4 linked regions of the Saccharomyces cerevisiae S288C genome follow. The gene in region 4 interacts genetically with the main gene of each other region. Each region holds a gene or a part of one and is shown on either strand. Other genes may lie near its edges.

Region 1 (7,009 bases), on a different chromosome or scaffold from region 4:
GGGGATGGGAAAGGCTTAATTGGAAGCACTGAGAACAGCAATTCACTCTGGTTGTTAGGTTGTGCTATTTGGTCGTGCTATGAATTGGAAGTCGTACGTTTTTCCCGGTGGTCATCCACCAGCTGCGTTGACCACAGGCCTTGTGGTATTTCTAACCGCTATTTACCTGTTAAGTTTTATTTTTGCCCTAAGGGAAGACCTGTCGTTGGCGCCAGAGTCATTGTTCAAACTGCAAATGAGCAGGCTATCGCTTTATCCTTTAATTCACCTATCATTGCCTCATTTACTGTTCAATGTGCTAGCCATCTGGGCACCCTTGAATCTCTTCGAAGAAACGCATGGGACTGTGTACACAGGTGTTTTTTTGAACCTGAGTGCTCTATTTGCCGGAATTCTGTACTGTTTGTTGGGTAAGTTGCTATATCCAGAAGCATTAGTTGCAGGCGCCAGTGGGTGGTGTTTCACCTTATTCGCATACTATAGTTTTAAAGAATCACAGATCCGCCCTAGAACAAGGATCTTTCGCACAGACTACTCAATTCCGACATTATATACACCCCTAGTACTATTAGTCGCAATTGCCGTCGTTATACCTGGCTCCAGTTTCTGGGGTCATTTTTTCGGCTTATGTGTCGGTTACGCCATAGGCTACAAGGAATCGTGGTTTAACAAGATCACTCCACCAGGATGGATCATCACCAAAATCGAAAAAAGTTTAGACGGTTTAATTCGATTAATACCTTGGGGAATTAAGTATTACAGAGATGAGGATATCGACAGAACTAAAGATTACGAACCGTTAATGTCCACAGAAACACCATTGCCTCTCCACAATGACAACTCCGGCACTGTCCTAGGGACTGCCTAGACATTTGTATCGCTATTCTTTCTTTCACAGTTTAAGGATGTATATAAATGTAGTATATATCATTTTATATTCTAATATGCAAGAATTTTCAGTCTCTTCTTTTTCCTTAGCGTGCGTTTATGAAAAAAAATGGAATATGAATAATTACTGGGAGGAAGACCAGGGGCAAGGGGTGAACCATCTTGTCATCTGAAATCTTGTATAAATAATTTAGTAATCAGTTCTTTAGGTTTTCGAGAGTGGCATACAACCTAAAGGGTCAACAGACAACAAGAAGGAAAGGAATTATAGGAGCAAATACACGCCCTTCAAATGGATCCCTTTCACAATGGCAATAAAAGGAGCTCAATATCGTTTGGCTCATCGCAGCGGCAGCCATATAACAAGAACAATTACTTGAGTGGTACTAATGGGCCTTCCTCGGCGGCACAAGATCAAGGTAGAGGCCCATCTCCCTTTGGAATGTCTGGCAACACTACCAATGGCGGTAACAGCAAAAGGAATAGTGGCTGTGACCTAAGTGCCACGTACTATGCAAGTCGATCGCCGATGTATTCACCGTTAGATTTCTCGCCACCAGTTTTTTCACCAAATCATTCTCAGTTACAGCAGGCGAGGGGCTATGCTGCAAATATTCCGGTTGTAAGCAATCTGATGAACCCTTCCATGGCCTCCGTGTGCGAATATCAATCACACTATCCACTCTTTGGGCTCGATTGGAGCGCCGACGACTACGTCTGCTTGGGTTCGTACAAAGAGGACAGCAGAAATAAGTTGCAGGTTCTGCACTCTAATGATCTACTGAGCTGGGAAAGCGTAGTGGACGCAGATGTGGTTTATCCTGTGAGCAAAATCCAATGGGTCCCCTCTCAATTGTATCCAAGGAAACTCGCGACGTGTTCTGACTCCTTACGGATTTGGAGCGTTAGCCCTGAGGAAAGACAGTTCCAAGAACAAATAAATCTATCTCTGTGTAAATACAATAGACAGCACCCCGCCAATCCCGCGGCCGCAGATGACATGAAGGTCATAGGCACTTTCCCACCAATAACATCATTTGACTGGAACACGGTCGATACTAACTTGATAATCTCAAGTTCCATCGACACCACATGCATTGTATGGGATCTGCAAAGCAGTCACTACGTTAAGACCCAATTGATCGCTCACGACAGCGAAGTTTTTGATGTAAGGTTTTTGACAAAATCGACCCAATTATTTGCTAGTTGTGGTGGGGACGGTAGTGTACGAGTATTTGATTTAAGATCGCTTGCGCACAGTACAATTATTTACGAGCCTCCCTCTTCCTCAGTGTCTGGAGCCACTGCGGGTACTATAACACCGTCGTCGAAAGGTTCGGACGCCTTATTGAGGCTGGAGCCATCACCGTATGACCCAAATGTGTTGGCCACTTTTGCAGCTGACTCGAACAAAATCATTATTCTAGATATGAGGAACCCAGAATCCCCTATACTAAACTTACAAGGCCACGGTTCTTCGGTAAACGGGATTAAATGGCATCCCACAAAGCGCAATGTTTTGCTCTCGTGCGGAGATGACTGCCAGGTGCTCTATTGGGACTTGAACAGCTCCTTTATGGAAATTAACGCTGCAGGTAGCAAATCCCCCAGTATTCATGGAACTTCCTTGGAGGACCCTGACGGCGACACAGAGATGACAGACGGTGGCGCAGGATCCGGTTTAAACGAGGATCCCTTAAGTTTAAACAACAACAGCAAGCAGGTGTGCAAGACACTAGAGACTCCTAACATGATGTATGCCAATAAAACACAAGAGATAAACAACATTGCATGGAGGCCCCAGAGGGGCGATTGGTTTGGGTGCGTGAGCGGCAAGAAGTTTCAAAACGTCCGCGTCCTTTGAGACAGCATTCGCCCAGTATTTTTTTTATTCTACAAACCTTCTATAATTTCAAAGTATTTACATAATTCTGTATCAGTTTAATCACCATAATATCGTTTTCTTTGTTTAGTGCAATTAATTTTTCCTATTGTTACTTCGGGCCTTTTTCTGTTTTATGAGCTATTTTTTCCGTCATCCTTCCCCAGATTTTCAGCTTCATCTCCAGATTGTGTCTACGTAATGCACGCCATCATTTTAAGAGAGGACAGAGAAGCAAGCCTCCTGAAAGATGAAGCTACTGTCTTCTATCGAACAAGCATGCGATATTTGCCGACTTAAAAAGCTCAAGTGCTCCAAAGAAAAACCGAAGTGCGCCAAGTGTCTGAAGAACAACTGGGAGTGTCGCTACTCTCCCAAAACCAAAAGGTCTCCGCTGACTAGGGCACATCTGACAGAAGTGGAATCAAGGCTAGAAAGACTGGAACAGCTATTTCTACTGATTTTTCCTCGAGAAGACCTTGACATGATTTTGAAAATGGATTCTTTACAGGATATAAAAGCATTGTTAACAGGATTATTTGTACAAGATAATGTGAATAAAGATGCCGTCACAGATAGATTGGCTTCAGTGGAGACTGATATGCCTCTAACATTGAGACAGCATAGAATAAGTGCGACATCATCATCGGAAGAGAGTAGTAACAAAGGTCAAAGACAGTTGACTGTATCGATTGACTCGGCAGCTCATCATGATAACTCCACAATTCCGTTGGATTTTATGCCCAGGGATGCTCTTCATGGATTTGATTGGTCTGAAGAGGATGACATGTCGGATGGCTTGCCCTTCCTGAAAACGGACCCCAACAATAATGGGTTCTTTGGCGACGGTTCTCTCTTATGTATTCTTCGATCTATTGGCTTTAAACCGGAAAATTACACGAACTCTAACGTTAACAGGCTCCCGACCATGATTACGGATAGATACACGTTGGCTTCTAGATCCACAACATCCCGTTTACTTCAAAGTTATCTCAATAATTTTCACCCCTACTGCCCTATCGTGCACTCACCGACGCTAATGATGTTGTATAATAACCAGATTGAAATCGCGTCGAAGGATCAATGGCAAATCCTTTTTAACTGCATATTAGCCATTGGAGCCTGGTGTATAGAGGGGGAATCTACTGATATAGATGTTTTTTACTATCAAAATGCTAAATCTCATTTGACGAGCAAGGTCTTCGAGTCAGGTTCCATAATTTTGGTGACAGCCCTACATCTTCTGTCGCGATATACACAGTGGAGGCAGAAAACAAATACTAGCTATAATTTTCACAGCTTTTCCATAAGAATGGCCATATCATTGGGCTTGAATAGGGACCTCCCCTCGTCCTTCAGTGATAGCAGCATTCTGGAACAAAGACGCCGAATTTGGTGGTCTGTCTACTCTTGGGAGATCCAATTGTCCCTGCTTTATGGTCGATCCATCCAGCTTTCTCAGAATACAATCTCCTTCCCTTCTTCTGTCGACGATGTGCAGCGTACCACAACAGGTCCCACCATATATCATGGCATCATTGAAACAGCAAGGCTCTTACAAGTTTTCACAAAAATCTATGAACTAGACAAAACAGTAACTGCAGAAAAAAGTCCTATATGTGCAAAAAAATGCTTGATGATTTGTAATGAGATTGAGGAGGTTTCGAGACAGGCACCAAAGTTTTTACAAATGGATATTTCCACCACCGCTCTAACCAATTTGTTGAAGGAACACCCTTGGCTATCCTTTACAAGATTCGAACTGAAGTGGAAACAGTTGTCTCTTATCATTTATGTATTAAGAGATTTTTTCACTAATTTTACCCAGAAAAAGTCACAACTAGAACAGGATCAAAATGATCATCAAAGTTATGAAGTTAAACGATGCTCCATCATGTTAAGCGATGCAGCACAAAGAACTGTTATGTCTGTAAGTAGCTATATGGACAATCATAATGTCACCCCATATTTTGCCTGGAATTGTTCTTATTACTTGTTCAATGCAGTCCTAGTACCCATAAAGACTCTACTCTCAAACTCAAAATCGAATGCTGAGAATAACGAGACCGCACAATTATTACAACAAATTAACACTGTTCTGATGCTATTAAAAAAACTGGCCACTTTTAAAATCCAGACTTGTGAAAAATACATTCAAGTACTGGAAGAGGTATGTGCGCCGTTTCTGTTATCACAGTGTGCAATCCCATTACCGCATATCAGTTATAACAATAGTAATGGTAGCGCCATTAAAAATATTGTCGGTTCTGCAACTATCGCCCAATACCCTACTCTTCCGGAGGAAAATGTCAACAATATCAGTGTTAAATATGTTTCTCCTGGCTCAGTAGGGCCTTCACCTGTGCCATTGAAATCAGGAGCAAGTTTCAGTGATCTAGTCAAGCTGTTATCTAACCGTCCACCCTCTCGTAACTCTCCAGTGACAATACCAAGAAGCACACCTTCGCATCGCTCAGTCACGCCTTTTCTAGGGCAACAGCAACAGCTGCAATCATTAGTGCCACTGACCCCGTCTGCTTTGTTTGGTGGCGCCAATTTTAATCAAAGTGGGAATATTGCTGATAGCTCATTGTCCTTCACTTTCACTAACAGTAGCAACGGTCCGAACCTCATAACAACTCAAACAAATTCTCAAGCGCTTTCACAACCAATTGCCTCCTCTAACGTTCATGATAACTTCATGAATAATGAAATCACGGCTAGTAAAATTGATGATGGTAATAATTCAAAACCACTGTCACCTGGTTGGACGGACCAAACTGCGTATAACGCGTTTGGAATCACTACAGGGATGTTTAATACCACTACAATGGATGATGTATATAACTATCTATTCGATGATGAAGATACCCCACCAAACCCAAAAAAAGAGTAAAATGAATCGTAGATACTGAAAAACCCCGCAAGTTCACTTCAACTGTGCATCGTGCACCATCTCAATTTCTTTCATTTATACATCGTTTTGCCTTCTTTTATGTAACTATACTCCTCTAAGTTTCAATCTTGGCCATGTAACCTCTGATCTATAGAATTTTTTAAATGACTAGAATTAATGCCCATCTTTTTTTTGGACCTAAATTCTTCATGAAAATATATTACGAGGGCTTATTCAGAAGCTTCGCTCATATAACGAAAAAAAAGGGTTTGGATCGAACGTAATTGAGATTGATTAGTTAATACTCAAAATAAAACAGCTCCTACCACCAGTGTAAAGTAGAACGTTAATAGAGCAATGTCTTCAGACAAATCTATTGAGAAAAATACAGATACGATCGCCTCTGAAGTTCACGAAGGTGATAATCATTCGAATAATTTGGGTTCAATGGAGGAAGAGATAAAATCAACGCCATCAGACCAATATGAAGAGATAGCTATAATTCCAACTGAGCCCCTCCATTCGGACAAAGAACTAAATGACAAGCAACAAAGTTTAGGCCATGAAGCACCCACAAATGTATCAAGAGAAGAACCTATTGGGATCTCTGGTGATGAAGACACCCAAATCACTGAACAAAACGTTAATGAACAAAGGCAAGAAACGAGAGAACCTAGTTCTGAAATTGATTTAAATGAGCCATTGGATGTTGAAAAAGATGTGACAACGGATGTGCAAGCCCCAAATGGGCTGAATATTGAAAAAGAATATGATGCAGTCAAAGAGAATGAGAAGGTTTACGCTGATACGAAAGAGGTTGTTAGTAGTCCAGAAAATAGGGAAGTAACTGGAAAAAATTCTGGAGGTGAGAAATCATCCTCGAGTAAATTTCTCGATGACGAATCTGGTACTACGACAGCTGCAAATGCGAACGACATTTCTATAAGTAGTGAAGTAACCCCAGAAAGGTCGTCAGAAAATGATAATAACCAGATTCATATTACCAATGAGGTAGCCGCAGGAATAAACTTGAATGAAAACAAGGAACAAAAAGCTGCTATAGAAGATGGGCCCGTAACAGCAGAGAATCTTTCCTCAGAAACTGCTAGGAAAGTACCACCTATACCCACACAAATCATAAATGAAAAAGGTGATAACTCAAGCGAGAACGAGGTTTCCGCAATTCCCACTACATCTTCGCCACCATTACCACCTAGACAAAATGTTGCGACATCAACGTCACCAAAATTACCTCCAAGGGGCAAACAAAGGGAACAACCACCGAAGACGAAGAATGCTGTTCCACCGCCACTAGAGGAAGAAATGAAGTCAGAGAAGTTCCG
Region 2 (5,722 bases), on a different chromosome or scaffold from region 4:
TTTACATATTATAATATATACAGGATATTCTATATTACAACATTAACAGGATTTTTAACTTTTCCTTACCGTATTCTTTTATTCTGGTTTTCTGTCTTCAGAATAATAGCATATTTCATTGTAGTATTTCGTCAAAGCGAGTTAGGGGAGGATGACTACAAGAAAGACAGCTTCCTCTCTTCAGCTTTTAGGGAAAATCACAGGAACAAAAGCTGGAACTAAGCAAAAGAAGATGAATTTCATTAATGGACTGATATGGTTATATATGTGTGTGTGGATGGTACACGGAAAAGTGACGCAGAAGGATGAATTGAAATGGAATAAAGGATACTCGCTACCAAATTTGCTAGAAGTGACAGATCAGCAAAAAGAACTTTCACAATGGACTTTGGGTGACAAAGTAAAACTTGAAGAAGGGAGGTTTGTTTTAACTCCTGGAAAGAACACAAAGGGTTCACTTTGGTTGAAACCTGAATATTCAATAAAGGATGCAATGACAATAGAGTGGACGTTTAGAAGTTTCGGGTTCAGAGGCAGCACAAAGGGGGGTCTTGCATTTTGGCTGAAGCAAGGAAATGAGGGAGATAGTACCGAGTTATTTGGTGGAAGTTCGAAGAAGTTTAATGGTTTGATGATATTGTTACGATTAGACGATAAGTTGGGAGAGAGCGTGACAGCGTATTTGAATGACGGAACAAAAGATCTTGATATTGAATCCTCACCGTACTTTGCGTCATGTCTGTTCCAATACCAGGATTCCATGGTACCATCAACATTAAGATTGACTTACAATCCACTAGATAATCACTTGTTAAAGTTGCAAATGGACAACAGAGTGTGTTTCCAGACAAGGAAAGTTAAATTTATGGGCAGCAGCCCATTTAGGATTGGAACAAGTGCTATCAACGATGCATCCAAAGAATCGTTTGAAATCTTGAAAATGAAGCTTTATGACGGAGTTATAGAGGATTCGCTAATTCCTAACGTGAATCCTATGGGACAACCCAGAGTGGTTACTAAAGTGATCAATTCTCAAACTGGTGAAGAGAGTTTCAGGGAAAAGATGCCATTTTCTGATAAGGAAGAAAGTATAACGAGTAACGAGCTTTTCGAAAAGATGAACAAGTTGGAGGGGAAAATCATGGCAAATGATATCGATCCATTACTCCGCAAGATGAACAAGATTGTGGAGAATGAACGTGAACTGATTCAACGTTTAAGACCACTGTTAGATCTGAAGAAAACAGCCATAAGTGACGATAGTTTCCAAGATTTTCTTTCGATGAACGCAAACCTGGACAGATTGATAAAAGAACAAGAAAAAATTCGACAAGATGCCAAGCTGTATGGCAAGCAGACCAAAGGTCATGATGAGATATTTTCCAAAATAAGTGTATGGTTGGCACTGCTGATTTTCATTATGATCACATTGGCGTACTACATGTTTAGAATTAACCAAGACATCAAGAAGGTCAAACTTCTGTAAGCTCTTGTGTCTTTGTTATATGGGTACAAGATATAAGAAACATAACTATTACATACGAAAATGTGCATGTTATCTATATCCTTCTTTATATAGATGCTGTTAACTTCTTTTTTTTTTTTTGGGAAAATCAACTGTTAAACGCGACAGTAAAAGCAGCAAAACATTAATTTTGCTTCCAAGACGACAGTAATATGTCTCCTACAATACCAGTTTCGCTGCAGAAGGCACATCTATTACATTTACTGAGCATAACGGGCTGTACTAATCCAAGGAGGTTTACGGACCAGGGGAACTTTCCAGATTCAGATCACAGCAATATAGGACTAGAAAATATCAGGTAGCCGCACTCAACTTGTAACTGGCAACTACTTTGCATCAAACTCCAATTAAATGCGGTAGAATCTTTTCACAAAAGGTACTCAACGTCAATTCGGAAAGCTTCCTTCCGGAATGGCTTAAGTAGGTTGCAATTTCTTTTTCTATTAGTAGCTAAAAATGGGTCACGTGATCTATATTCGAAAGGGGCGGTTGCCTCAGGAAGGCACCGGCGGTCTTTCGTCCGTGCGGAGATATCTGCGCCGTTCAGGGGTCCATGTGCCTTGGACGATATTAAGGCAGAAGGCAGTATCGGGGCGGATCACTCCGAACCGAGATTAGTTAAGCCCTTCCCATCTCAAGATGGGGAGCAAATGGCATTATACTCCTGCTAGAAAGTTAACTGTGCACATATTCTTAAATTATACAACATTCTGGAGAGCTATTGTTCAAAAAACAAACATTTCGCAGGCTAAAATGTGGAGATAGGATAAGTTTTGTAGACATATATAAACAATCAGTAATTGGATTGAAAATTTGGTGTTGTGAATTGCTCTTCATTATGCACCTTATTCAATTATCATCAAGAATAGTAATAGTTAAGTAAACACAAGATTAACATAATAAAAAAAATAATTCTTTCATAATGGCAGTTGAGGAGAACAATATGCCTGTTGTTTCACAGCAACCCCAAGCTGGTGAAGACGTGATCTCTTCACTCAGTAAAGATTCCCATTTAAGCGCACAATCTCAAAAGTATTCTAATGATGAATTGAAAGCCGGTGAGTCAGGGTCTGAAGGCTCCCAAAGTGTTCCTATAGAGATACCCAAGAAGCCCATGTCTGAATATGTTACCGTTTCCTTGCTTTGTTTGTGTGTTGCCTTCGGCGGCTTCATGTTTGGCTGGGATACCGGTACTATTTCTGGGTTTGTTGTCCAAACAGACTTTTTGAGAAGGTTTGGTATGAAACATAAGGATGGTACCCACTATTTGTCAAACGTCAGAACAGGTTTAATCGTCGCCATTTTCAATATTGGCTGTGCCTTTGGTGGTATTATACTTTCCAAAGGTGGAGATATGTATGGCCGTAAAAAGGGTCTTTCGATTGTCGTCTCGGTTTATATAGTTGGTATTATCATTCAAATTGCCTCTATCAACAAGTGGTACCAATATTTCATTGGTAGAATCATATCTGGTTTGGGTGTCGGCGGCATCGCCGTCTTATGTCCTATGTTGATCTCTGAAATTGCTCCAAAGCACTTGAGAGGCACACTAGTTTCTTGTTATCAGCTGATGATTACTGCAGGTATCTTTTTGGGCTACTGTACTAATTACGGTACAAAGAGCTATTCGAACTCAGTTCAATGGAGAGTTCCATTAGGGCTATGTTTCGCTTGGTCATTATTTATGATTGGCGCTTTGACGTTAGTTCCTGAATCCCCACGTTATTTATGTGAGGTGAATAAGGTAGAAGACGCCAAGCGTTCCATTGCTAAGTCTAACAAGGTGTCACCAGAGGATCCTGCCGTCCAGGCAGAGTTAGATCTGATCATGGCCGGTATAGAAGCTGAAAAACTGGCTGGCAATGCGTCCTGGGGGGAATTATTTTCCACCAAGACCAAAGTATTTCAACGTTTGTTGATGGGTGTGTTTGTTCAAATGTTCCAACAATTAACCGGTAACAATTATTTTTTCTACTACGGTACCGTTATTTTCAAGTCAGTTGGCCTGGATGATTCCTTTGAAACATCCATTGTCATTGGTGTAGTCAACTTTGCCTCCACTTTCTTTAGTTTGTGGACTGTCGAAAACTTGGGACATCGTAAATGTTTACTTTTGGGCGCTGCCACTATGATGGCTTGTATGGTCATCTACGCCTCTGTTGGTGTTACTAGATTATATCCTCACGGTAAAAGCCAGCCATCTTCTAAAGGTGCCGGTAACTGTATGATTGTCTTTACCTGTTTTTATATTTTCTGTTATGCCACAACCTGGGCGCCAGTTGCCTGGGTCATCACAGCAGAATCATTCCCACTGAGAGTCAAGTCGAAATGTATGGCGTTGGCCTCTGCTTCCAATTGGGTATGGGGGTTCTTGATTGCATTTTTCACCCCATTCATCACATCTGCCATTAACTTCTACTACGGTTATGTCTTCATGGGCTGTTTGGTTGCCATGTTTTTTTATGTCTTTTTCTTTGTTCCAGAAACTAAAGGCCTATCGTTAGAAGAAATTCAAGAATTATGGGAAGAAGGTGTTTTACCTTGGAAATCTGAAGGCTGGATTCCTTCATCCAGAAGAGGTAATAATTACGATTTAGAGGATTTACAACATGACGACAAACCGTGGTACAAGGCCATGCTAGAATAATGCGTTTGAAGTGAGACGCTCCATCATCTCTCTTAATTTTTCATGACTGACGTTTTTTCTTCATTTTAATTATCATAGTATTTGTTTGAAAAAAAAAAAAAAAAATTTCCCTTATCAATGATATCCTTACGATTATATAAATTCCTTACCTAAACCTATTATTTGTGTACATATATCAGAGTATTATTACATATATAACCTTTTTCTCTAAAACAGGAAAAAAAAAAGAAAACGATAACATGCTCTGCCATCCTTTGTTCACCGAGCAAAATTAAAAACGCAAAATGAATTGTCCCTATGAAATTATTAAAGGACCACATCACCAGACTTATCTCTGGGGGGTCCTCTAGAAAATAAGTCAGGTACTTGCCTGGACTTTCTTCCAGTTGAATTCCTGAGCTAACATACAATTAATGGAGTGAGAATGTTCGAACGATCCAGGAGTTGCTTTTTTCAGTCATTTGTTTATCAGTGTAACAAGCATTTCCTTTATTTCTTTTATATCAACCTGCAACCTATTAATATTCAATTCAACGTCTCGGAGCTTTTCTCGTACCGTTTTACCATCATCCATTTCCATGCTAACTAATTCTGAGATTACGATTACATATTGTCTCAGTTCTGGTTCATCAATGGCTGATAAAACTTTCATTACATTTTGGAAAAAATCTTCGTCATTTAGGTCTAAAGTCAGGATTTGGTTCCTTATAGACTCTCTACGATCTTTTTTCAAGTTTTTTTCTGAAGAAATATGTCCATTTTCATTAGTGACAGCGGTAGAGTCCTCTTCCGCTCGAACCAAACTATCACTGCCGGTGTTTTCCTCTCGAAAGGGTTTGTCTTTACCAATGGAAAGACGCCCGTCTTCTGCGCTTTCATATAATTTGACAGTGGCTATATTGAACTGTTCTTGCAAATCGCCAGTTTTGGCATCCCCTACCCAACCTTTTTCATGCAATTCCTTTCCTTGAGTGACCCAAGCGACGAGGTTATCTCTAATATATCTTGAAGTTATAGGTACTCTTGATTTCTCCTTATAAACTCTGTTAAAAAACTCAGCTATCATTTGATGACATAATATAGGTCTCCTTTTACTTGCTCTCTTTGTTGTGTGGAGCAAGAGGGCCCAATATATGACTGTTAACTTTTCACAAAGACTTTTTTCTTTATTATTGGACCATCGAAACTTCCTTAGTTGCCTTGTTTCCGCTTCGTCATTACTGTTTCCCCCCAAGTCTGTGGGGGCTCCAACGTGCAATATGTCGTTGTCAATATCACTAGAAGTATGAGTTTCCACATTCAACTTGGTATTAGTAGTGTTAATTCTTTTATTAAAGCAAATAGTATGTGTAGATTGCAGGAGGTCGAAGCTCTTCGGATTGGCAAAATCAATATTCTGCTCTATAATTTTCACAGGTTTTGTTGGCAGTATTTGTGCAATTCCTGTCATTGAGTTTCTAAATACATTCTTTTGGTCATATTTTGAAGTGCTCTTTTTGCTTTTATGTACTTTTTTTGAAGAGGACGCATTCACATTTGTTACTTCCAAT
Region 3 (5,600 bases), on a different chromosome or scaffold from region 4:
TCAAATAGAGCCTGGTCAGTTCACGTTAGCTTTATTATTAATATTTGTTAGAAACAACTCTTAAAACGCTTCTCTTTTTCGGTCGCGTAAAAGGATAATATTATTAATGGAAAATTTAGCCGCCGAGGACATAATCTTTTGAATCTTCATAAAAAAGCAACTGTAAGCAATGTAAAGTCCAAAACTTTACCATTTTTTGTTTGATCTTGCATGAGAATACCGGGTGAGCCTAACATGAAAAAGATAGCTAGCCACTATTGTAAAAATGTGATAAAGGATACGAGACTCAAATTCACTTGGATAACTATCTAGCAGGTTTTGAGTCAGCCATATTAGGTTACATACCGGTCCAAACCTATATAGAGCCATTGTACGATCCGACTACAAGTTATTTATATGGAAATTAACAGATTGTTTGGAGTCACCGTACGCAGCTCACATAGATAGCTTATTGTGCAAAATATAATTAAATAAAGATGCAAGATGGATGATAACAAGAATTATAAGCAAAGGATTATTGATGTTCCGAATAATTCAATTCACTATATAACAGGTGTTGGGTATATGTATGTGATCTACCTGGTACGTGTAATTTAAAAAATAAAATAATTGGGAAAACTACGGAATTACGTTTGCGCATTGCGTCCGAAGATCAGCACCTCAGATAAAAAATCAACTTTCGCCGTGGTAGACTTCGAGATACTCTGCTAATAGCGATGCTCGATATTACTACCAATGTATGTGAAGGTTTTGATTGTATTCAATCCTTTTTCAGATAATTTACCCTTGCTTTAAGCTGCGTATATCAAGTGCATTTGCTGTCTGCTGATGTCAATTAATTGTATCAATTGGCCAGCTTCGGATAACGAACGATTATCGCGCGAGTGAAATAGACTGGGTCGACCCTTTTGAATTATCACGGCATCGCAATATCTTTGGAGCAGTACAACATTTACTTTTCTTGACCAATCCTAAGAGTTTGTATACATTTTTTGTAAACTGTAGTACGGCGTTAGAGTCAAGAAGTAGCTTATTATATCCTGTGCACAAATTTCAAAGTTTTTGCCGCCATCATATGGCTGAAAGAGGGCAGCAAATTCCATCTCGTTATTTTTGCATATCAACGCAAGCGTTACACAAGATATGGTTAGAAGCAACGAGCAGAAATTCATTACAATGACAGAAATTAATTGCCGTTGCAACATTGTTTTGCCTCTATCGCGTGTGTTTCCTTGAAGGCAGTGTATCACTGAATGTCATCAGTAATGTTACCAAGAATGAACATCCTCCAAATACTCATAGAAACCCGTTTAAAATTCGGGAATTGATGACTTCCTTATGGTAGGCAAGTGTGATTTACAGACTTTCCATGCGATGAACCCCTATTTTAATCGTATGGATCACCAGATCAAGAATTGGCAGTTCTGTCCCATTATTAGAATAGCGAGAAAACGGATGCTTTCATAATTTTTGATTGTTGCTTCATCCTATTTCACCCTATTTAATAGCCTTCTGTAGAAATATCGTGTATGGTTCCTTTATCATTGCTTAGCATAGCTGCCACTAACCTACATTAATCGACTTTTTCCCGGAAAATTAGCGGGTAATCGATTTTTCTAGATGGCATTGTGGAGGAAAGTAAGTGCGTGGGGTGTGTAAGTTGCCGTACAATGCAGTATAACCAGTAGGACTGGAAGGTAGTCAGTACAGTAAGACTAGAAGTTAGCGAGCCAGCACGTTTCCTTCGCGCCGGTTTTTTTTTTTATTTTTTATTTAATTTTTTTCAAAACTTGACGTGTAGAAGATTGACGTCTGGGGTTGGCCCCATGAATTTTTTATCTATTTCTTCCCTGTGCCTAATTCGTAATATCTCCACTGATAGCGTAAAAAAGCGCTTTATTTTTCCGAAAGTTGTGATGGCATTCCATACAGTTTATAGGATGGTAGCAAGTGATAAGAGCTTGGGGCCCACAATTAAGCAGCAGAAAAGCGCAATTGCGACACTAGCAGTGTAACTCGATAGGATTTTATGGAGTGTTGATGAATGTAGTTGCCATTATAATGGCTTCTCAGGAAACCTGTAGCGGCCGGGCCCCGCGAGAAACTCCAGAGTGGCGTAGGCCGGCTTGTTTAGTTGCTAGCATACTTGTTCGAGCTCTTGAGTTCTCCTGGCTTTTCTCCACGTGTCTGCTTGTTGCCTTTGATTTCGCGAGAGACTGCGGACTGCCACCCCACTCCGGGAAAACCTGGAGTGATGGTAAAGGCCCTGCGGCGCTTTCTTTCGGAAAAACTAATACGAAAGAAGCAACAACAAATTTTTACAACAGGCTGGACGAGAAAAGTGGGGAAGAGCAAGCAGAAAAAAGAAAAGAGAATAGTCGTTCTTGGATAATTTATTTATTATAACCCTTTTTTTTCACCCCAGTACTCATTAACGAAGACAAAGGAGAGTAAGAAAGCCCGGTAAAGCATTTCGAAGATAAGAGAGCCATTTATTCTAGCTCGCTTGTAACTACACGAGAGTTGAGTATAGTGGAGACGACATACTACCATAGCCATGCAAAGCCCATATCCAATGACACAAGTGTCTAACGTTGATGATGGGTCACTATTGAAGGAGAGTAAAAGCAAGTCCAAAGTAGCTGCGAAGTCAGAGGCGCCAAGACCACATGCTTGTCCTATCTGTCATAGAGCTTTTCACAGACTGGAACATCAGACGAGACACATGAGAATTCATACAGGTGAGAAGCCTCACGCGTGTGACTTCCCCGGATGTGTGAAAAGGTTCAGTAGAAGCGATGAACTGACGAGACACAGAAGAATTCATACAAACTCCCACCCTCGAGGTAAAAGAGGCAGAAAGAAGAAGGTTGTGGGCTCTCCAATAAATAGTGCTAGTTCTAGTGCTACCAGTATACCAGATTTAAATACGGCAAATTTTTCACCGCCATTACCACAGCAACACCTATCGCCTTTAATTCCTATTGCTATTGCTCCGAAAGAAAATTCAAGTCGATCTTCTACAAGAAAAGGTAGAAAAACCAAATTCGAAATCGGCGAAAGTGGTGGGAATGACCCATATATGGTTTCTTCTCCCAAAACGATGGCTAAGATTCCCGTCTCGGTGAAGCCTCCACCTTCTTTAGCACTGAATAATATGAACTACCAAACTTCATCCGCTTCCACTGCTTTGTCTTCGTTGAGCAATAGCCATAGTGGCAGTAGACTGAAACTGAACGCGTTATCGTCCCTACAAATGATGACGCCCATTGCTAGCAGTGCGCCAAGGACTGTTTTCATAGACGGTCCTGAACAGAAACAACTACAACAACAACAAAATTCTCTTTCACCACGTTATTCCAACACTGTTATATTACCAAGGCCGCGATCTTTAACGGATTTTCAAGGATTGAACAATGCAAATCCAAACAACAATGGAAGTCTCAGAGCACAAACTCAGAGTTCCGTACAGTTGAAGAGACCAAGTTCAGTTTTAAGTTTGAACGACTTGTTGGTTGGCCAAAGAAATACCAACGAATCTGACTCTGATTTTACTACTGGTGGTGAGGATGAAGAAGACGGACTAAAGGACCCGTCTAACTCTAGTATCGATAACCTTGAGCAAGACTATTTGCAAGAGCAATCAAGAAAGAAATCTAAGACTTCCACGCCCACGACAATGCTAAGTAGATCCACTAGTGGTACGAATTTGCACACTTTGGGGTATGTAATGAACCAAAATCACTTGCATTTCTCCTCATCATCTCCTGATTTCCAAAAGGAGTTGAACAACAGATTACTGAACGTTCAACAACAGCAGCAAGAGCAACATACCCTACTGCAATCACAAAATACGTCAAACCAAAGTCAAAATCAAAATCAAAATCAAATGATGGCTTCCAGTAGTTCGTTAAGTACAACCCCGTTATTATTGTCACCAAGGGTGAATATGATTAATACTGCTATATCCACCCAACAAACCCCCATTTCTCAGTCGGATTCACAAGTTCAAGAACTGGAAACATTACCACCCATAAGAAGTTTACCGTTGCCCTTCCCACACATGGACTGATACGCTGACAAGTTTTTGGCGGTGCAGATAAATCAAAAGACAATAGACAAGAATTAATAATATTAACAATTAATAATTAATAAATAATAAATAATAATAATAATAATAATAATAATAATAATAATAGTAATAATAATAATAATTAATAACGATAAAAATATTTAATTATGATAGTAAGAATACATATTTTGATTGTCTTAGTCTTCCGCAGAGATAATTAATTGTTCTCATTTTCAAAGTCATCTATATGTATTGATTGAGCTCTACTGTTGTTTTTAACTTTATTGTGGCCCCCTAAAATATAATTTTTACCAGTATTAACCATTTTGCTCTTATTAGTACTTTTACTGATGGTGGAACCCTTGAAATTTGTCATGGGCGATTCAATCCATAGATTGTTATTGCTGCTTCCACTAGTGTTCTTGTATGGAATTGGTGTCGTAGGTGCCGTAGTCATAGCATCGGTTGCTCTAGTTAAGGTGGTTGGTTGTCTCGTCATATTGGTATTGGTTGTGTTGAATGAATTGTCAAGAGAATAACTCTCATTCATGGAACCAGGTCCTTGTGTGCCGCTGTTATTGTTGCTACCATTACTTTCCTGAGAAATTAGGCTGCTTTTGTTGAACAAAAACCTGTTGGAAGAACATGGAGTAGAGTTTTGAGGCTGCTGCTGCTGCTTACTAACGTTAGTGTTAGTGTTTTTCGACGTGGACGGTATGAAAGATGTGGACGAGTAGACATCGTACTTCGATAACGTAGTAAAGTTTTCAATATTTTTCTGCGCAGCTGATTGTGATGATGTACAATTATCGCTTGTTGATGCTGAAGTTATTGTATTTGGTGGAGTGGATATCACAAATTGAACATCCTCAGGGAATAATTTCAGCAAGTCAGATGTTGTTAGTTTTATTGGCTTAATCTTTGGTTGCTCTTCATAGAAAAGCTCCTTATAAAATGCATTATAAACTTCAGAACCGTCATTCCACAATGTGATGTAATCTTTCAAAGCTTGGAAAGAAAGTTGATTTTTTAAACATAACTTTTTAATTAAATTATCATCATCACTTCCATCCCTAATTTGATGGAAGAACAAATGATTCAATAAGTTTATGGATATTTTTTGTAAAATCAAATCATCCAGAGAAACCTTTGTCGCGAATTTGATCAAATGATATAGTGCTAAATTTTTTTCCTTTATGACCAAATTTTCACACAATTTCAAAGAGCTAAAAAAAATTAGTTGAGAAAATAATTTCTTGACTGAGGAAGACCCGATGAGATTTATATTTTCCTCTTTCTCTTTATGTCCTTCATCTCGTTCTTGGCCTCGGTCTTTTAATTGTTGGGCCAATAATAATGAAGTAAATAATGGAACGAGATAAAGCTGCATGTATTGTTCTATTATCACATGATTGTCTTCATTACTGTGATCATCTGATGATTGAATTAGTGGGTTAATCTTCAGGTCATCATAATCCCTTAGAAGTTTAGAAATTAAAAGAATGGTTAAATTCAAACAGCGTAATAC
Region 4 (5,416 bases):
TCCTTGCGTTTCAGCTTCCACTAATTTAGATGACTATTTCTCATCATTTGCGTCATCTTCTAACACCGTATATGATAATATACTAGTAACGTAAATACTAGTTAGTAGATGATAGTTGATTTTTATTCCAACACTTATATTCTATATATCCATAACATTGTCTACATATAATCCGAGAGGTTACGACAACATTCATATAATAAGGGTAGTACTGACACTTTATTTTGAAGTAAATCAAAATAGTCACTCTCGGTAGCCAAGTTGGTTTAAGGCGCAAGACTGTAATTTACCACTACGAAATCTTGAGATCGGGCGTTCGACTCGCCCCCGGGAGATATTTTTTTTCCCTTTTTCTCCAGGCCTAGTGAGGTTTGAGTTTTGAACGTTTTATAGATAGATGTAAGGTAGCCAGAATGAGCACTTAGCCTTTAAAGTAAATTGAGTAGAGATACGTAAACAGTCGTGATAAATATGTAATACATTGTATTATTTTAAATAGGTTAAATTTTCTTTTTTTTTTTTCCATTTCATTTTCATTTTCATTTCCTGCAGTTATTTTTTTTCTTATTAATCTATATCCATGTAATCGTTAGCGATATTGTTGTTAGTCAACGCGGCCATGGCAGTACCGGGTGCTTGTGATGCAATTATACTTTGGGATGGTAGAAGATGATACTGGTGTTGTATAATACTAGCACTTCCAGTAGGACTCGTGCCTGTTATGTCGCGATTAGTGTTACCGAAATAACCATGAATCATGTACTCTTCTGTTTCAGAATAAAATTCAGATTCGTTCAGTAAGCGGCTGTTCATAGTGTGGTGCATACTAACCGGTTTCAGGGGACATATTTCGATATTTTTTTTATAATGAATATTATTGTAGGTTGCAGTATTATTGCTGTTATTATGATTATGGTTATTATTATTATTATTGTTGTTGTTGTTGTTGTTGATGATGATGTTGTTGTTGTTGTTATTAAGATTAGCACACCCGGAACCGACCGAAAACTTTGTACTTACAGAATCTCGTTTTGTTCTCTTCGATCTTTGGTAGAAAGTGTGTGTATCAAACTCGAAATGGTCATTTTTTCTTTTATTCATGATCGTATCATTATTGGCGTCGCTGTTGTATGTAGTGGCGGCATTGCTACCGGAATTGCAATTGTTTGTTTGGAACGCAGTATTGTGTTCATAGTATGAGAGCATTTCACGCAGCACACTTGAGTCTTAAATTAATGAATAAAAGCAGCCAACCCCAAGAAAAAAGAGCCCTTATCTGTTTCTGTCGCAGTCCTATTGTATTCTTCCTAACTATATAATTTTGTCAAAATGAAAAATATAAAAAAAATAATAAAGTCAGCTGAGTGGTAAAGAGAAAGCAAAGGGAGAGAAAAATCGGTTACCCAGATGGATTAGGTTACCCAGATGTCATACGTGTATCATGATTTCTAGAAATTATTACCCTGTTTGGTACCATGACAACGGATATGGCAATCTTGCATTAAGTAAAATGTCTCTAATGGGACCGTGAAGGTACAAAACAGCAATGGTCTAGGTAGTGGCATTCGAAGCTTCGAAAGCGTGGCCTCGCCTCGAGCGTGAAGTCATATTTTCTCACTCTGCACTGCCGTGCTGTGCCATGTAGCCCACTGTATGCCTCTAGCACCCCAATCGGGAAAATTGTAAACATTAGCAGGTGTCGCCTCGAGGCCCCCGATACATTTTTCAACATCTCCTCGATACTTAAACAGCAAACAAACAAGCAACACCCACGCAAGAAGATTTATTAATACCTCTTGACTCCCGTAGATATTGAAGAGACTAAGTATAGTAACGCATATCCGCACAATACTATGGTTAAGGTCTGGAATATAGTACTACGTCTGGTAGTGTTGCTGTTTTTAGCAGGTAATACCTTGCTGTTAATTTTGATGATTATATCTGGTGCCACGGACCATTACCCCGTGAACAGATTCTATTGGGTGCAGGGCAATACAACAGGCATACCTAATGCTGGGGATGAAACACGTTGGACGTTTTGGGGCGCCTGTCTACAGGATAAAGACGGGTCGGATACCTGCACAAGCAATTTGGCACCTGCATACCCCATTTCCCCAGTAGATAACTTCAACACACACATCAATGTCCCTCACCAGTTTATTTCCAAAAGAGACGCTTTTTACTACCTGACTAGATTTTCATTTTGTTTCTTTTGGATTGCGCTTGCCTTTGTAGGTGTGTCGTTTATCCTTTACGTTTTGACTTGGTGCTCGAAGATGCTTTCAGAGATGGTGCTTATCCTCATGTCTTTTGGGTTTGTCTTCAATACGGCAGCCGTTGTCTTGCAAACGGCCGCCTCTGCCATGGCAAAGAATGCTTTCCATGACGATCATCGTAGTGCCCAATTGGGTGCCTCTATGATGGGTATGGCTTGGGCAAGTGTCTTTTTATGTATCGTGGAATTTATCCTGCTGGTCTTCTGGTCTGTTAGGGCAAGGTTGGCCTCTACTTACTCCATCGACAATTCAAGATACAGAACCTCCTCCAGATGGAATCCCTTCCATAGAGAGAAGGAGCAAGCAACTGACCCAATATTGACTGCCACTGGACCTGAAGACATGCAACAAAGTGCAAGCATAGTGGGGCCTTCTTCCAATGCTAATCCGGTCACTGCCACTGCTGCTACGGAAAACCAACCTAAAGGTATTAACTTCTTCACTATAAGAAAATCACACGAGCGCCCGGACGATGTCTCTGTTTAAATGGCGCAAGTTTTCCGCTTTGTAATATATATTTATACCCCTTTCTTCTCTCCCCTGCAATATAATAGTTTAATTCTAATATTAATAATATCCTATATTTTCTTCATTTACCGGCGCACTCTCGCCCGAACGACCTCAAAATGTCTGCTACATTCATAATAACCAAAAGCTCATAACTTTTTTTTTTGAACCTGAATATATATACATCACATATCACTGCTGGTCCTTGCCGACCAGCGTATACAATCTCGATAGTTGGTTTCCCGTTCTTTCCACTCCCGTCATGGACTACAACAAGAGATCTTCGGTCTCAACCGTGCCTAATGCAGCTCCCATAAGAGTCGGATTCGTCGGTCTCAACGCAGCCAAAGGATGGGCAATCAAGACACATTACCCCGCCATACTGCAACTATCGTCACAATTTCAAATCACTGCCTTATACAGTCCAAAAATTGAGACTTCTATTGCCACCATTCAGCGTCTAAAATTGAGTAATGCCACTGCTTTTCCCACTTTAGAGTCATTTGCATCATCTTCCACTATAGATATGATAGTGATAGCTATCCAAGTGGCCAGCCATTATGAAGTTGTTATGCCTCTCTTGGAATTCTCCAAAAATAATCCGAACCTCAAGTATCTTTTCGTAGAATGGGCCCTTGCATGTTCACTAGATCAAGCCGAATCCATTTATAAGGCTGCTGCTGAACGTGGGGTTCAAACCATCATCTCTTTACAAGGTCGTAAATCACCATATATTTTGAGAGCAAAAGAATTAATATCTCAAGGCTATATCGGCGACATTAATTCGATCGAGATTGCTGGAAATGGCGGTTGGTACGGCTACGAAAGGCCTGTTAAATCACCAAAATACATCTATGAAATCGGGAACGGTGTAGATCTGGTAACCACAACATTTGGTCACACAATCGATATTTTACAATACATGACAAGTTCGTACTTTTCCAGGATAAATGCAATGGTTTTCAATAATATTCCAGAGCAAGAGCTGATAGATGAGCGTGGTAACCGATTGGGCCAGCGAGTCCCAAAGACAGTACCGGATCATCTTTTATTCCAAGGCACATTGTTAAATGGCAATGTTCCAGTGTCATGCAGTTTCAAAGGTGGCAAACCTACCAAAAAATTTACCAAAAATTTGGTCATTGACATTCACGGTACCAAGGGAGATTTGAAACTTGAAGGCGATGCCGGCTTCGCAGAAATTTCAAATCTGGTCCTTTACTACAGTGGAACTAGAGCAAACGACTTCCCGCTAGCCAATGGACAACAAGCTCCTTTAGACCCGGGGTATGATGCAGGTAAAGAAATCATGGAAGTATATCATTTACGAAATTATAATGCCATTGTGGGTAATATTCATCGACTGTATCAATCTATCTCTGACTTCCACTTCAATACAAAGAAAATTCCTGAATTACCCTCACAATTTGTAATGCAAGGTTTCGATTTCGAAGGCTTTCCCACCTTGATGGATGCTCTGATATTACACAGGTTAATCGAGAGCGTTTATAAAAGTAACATGATGGGCTCCACATTAAACGTTAGCAATATCTCGCATTATAGTTTATAAAAGCATCTTGCCCTGTGCTTGGCCCCCAGTGCAGCGAACGTTATAAAAACGAATACTGAGTATATATCTATGTAAAACAACCATATCATTTCTTGTTCTGAACTTTGTTTACCTAACTAGTTTTAAATTTCCCTTTTTCGTGCATGCGGGTGTTCTTATTTATTAGCATACTACATTTGAAATATCAAATTTCCTTAGTAGAAAAGTGAGAGAAGGTGCACTGACACAAAAAATAAAATGCTACGTATAACTGTCAAAACTTTGCAGCAGCGGGCATCCTTCCATCATAGCTTCAAACATATTAGCGTTCCTGATCTTCATACCCGTGCTCAAAATGATCAAACAAACTGTTATTGCCAAGAAATAAACGCAAGGCTGCCTTCAAAAACTGATCCATTAGATCCTCATATCAAGCTTCCTCATAGAACGCCCAATTACAATAAGCATGTTTTGCTGTTATCACCGGGTGATAGGTTTGCTCAACCATGGAAGGTAGCATGGAATCATAATTTGGATACTAATACAAATCGGCCATATAATGCCATTAGTAAATTGCGCTCCCATTTAGGTGGTTCTCCAGGAATACTAATAAATGCGGTGCATTTGCAAAATGAATTTATTCCAAGGCCAAAACAACACGATGAATGGCTTTATTTTTTTGTTATTCCTGACATGAAGCTTTATGTAATTAAGGAAACGGACATCGAGGAATTTGCATCTTTTTTAGATGAAGGAGCTATTCAAGCACCAAAGCTATCCTTCCAGGATTATTTAAGCGGTAAGGCCAAGGCTTCCCAACAGGTTCATGAAGTGCATCATAGAAAGCTTACAAGGTTTCAGGGTGAAACTTTTCTAAGAGATTGGAACTTAGTCTGTGGGCATTATAAGAGAGATGCTAAGTGTGGAGAAATGGGACCCGACATAATTGCAGCATTTCAAGATGAAAAGCTTTTTCCTGAGAATAATCTAGCCTTAATTTCTCATATTGGGGGTCATATTTTTGCTGGTAATGTCATTTTCTATAAACTATTCGGCAGAGAAAAGATGCAAAACAAGCTGGATT

What was found.
Region 1: mutations in GAL80 (region 4) and GAL4 together harm fitness less than expected from each alone (positive genetic interaction), as found in Saccharomyces cerevisiae (3 studies listed by BioGRID, with this or other methods).
Region 2: mutations in GAL80 (region 4) and GAL2 together harm fitness less than expected from each alone (positive genetic interaction), as found in Saccharomyces cerevisiae (one study listed by BioGRID).
Region 3: of GAL80 (region 4) and MIG1, changing one enhances a phenotype caused by changing the other (phenotypic enhancement), as found in Saccharomyces cerevisiae (3 studies listed by BioGRID, with this or other methods).

The regions. Positions count from the first base shown.
Region 1 is NC_001148.4:78,368-85,376, reverse strand, and holds GAL4 (galactose-responsive transcription factor GAL4), read left to right. Parts: upstream 1-3,020; coding exon 3,021-5,666; downstream 5,667-7,009. Other genes in the region: putative rhomboid protease RBD2, read left to right, coding at 80-868; YPL247C (uncharacterized protein), read left to right, coding at 1,181-2,752; GTPase-activating protein GYP5, read left to right, coding at 6,024-7,009. UniProt on the Saccharomyces cerevisiae protein: This protein is a positive regulator for the gene expression of the galactose-induced genes such as GAL1, GAL2, GAL7, GAL10, and MEL1 which code for the enzymes used to convert galactose to glucose.
Region 2 is NC_001144.5:287,765-293,486, forward strand, and holds GAL2 (galactose permease GAL2), read left to right. Parts: upstream 1-2,447; coding exon 2,448-4,172; downstream 4,173-5,722. Other genes in the region: EMP46 (Emp46p), read left to right, coding at 152-1,486; SRL2 (Srl2p), read right to left, coding at 4,630-5,722. UniProt on the Saccharomyces cerevisiae protein: GAL2 is a facilitated diffusion transporter required for both the high-affinity galactokinase-dependent and low-affinity galactokinase-independent galactose transport processes.
Region 3 is NC_001139.9:430,020-435,619, reverse strand, and holds MIG1 (transcription factor MIG1), read left to right. Parts: upstream 1-2,557; coding exon 2,558-4,072; downstream 4,073-5,600. Other genes in the region: YGL034C (uncharacterized protein), read left to right, coding at 2,041-2,406; VIR1 (Vir1p), read right to left, coding at 4,290-5,600. UniProt on the Saccharomyces cerevisiae protein: Involved in glucose repression of the SUC, GAL and MAL genes as well as of the CAT8 gene. Binds to two sites in the upstream region of SUC2.
Region 4 is NC_001145.3:168,549-173,964, forward strand, and holds GAL80 (transcription regulator GAL80), read left to right. Parts: upstream 1-3,045; coding exon 3,046-4,353; downstream 4,354-5,416. Other genes in the region: YML053C (uncharacterized protein), read right to left, coding at 568-1,206; SUR7 (Sur7p), read left to right, coding at 1,854-2,762; AIM32 (Aim32p), read left to right, coding at 4,591-5,416. UniProt on the Saccharomyces cerevisiae protein: This protein is a negative regulator for the gene expression of the lactose/galactose metabolic genes. It binds to GAL4 and so blocks transcriptional activation by it, in the absence of an inducing sugar.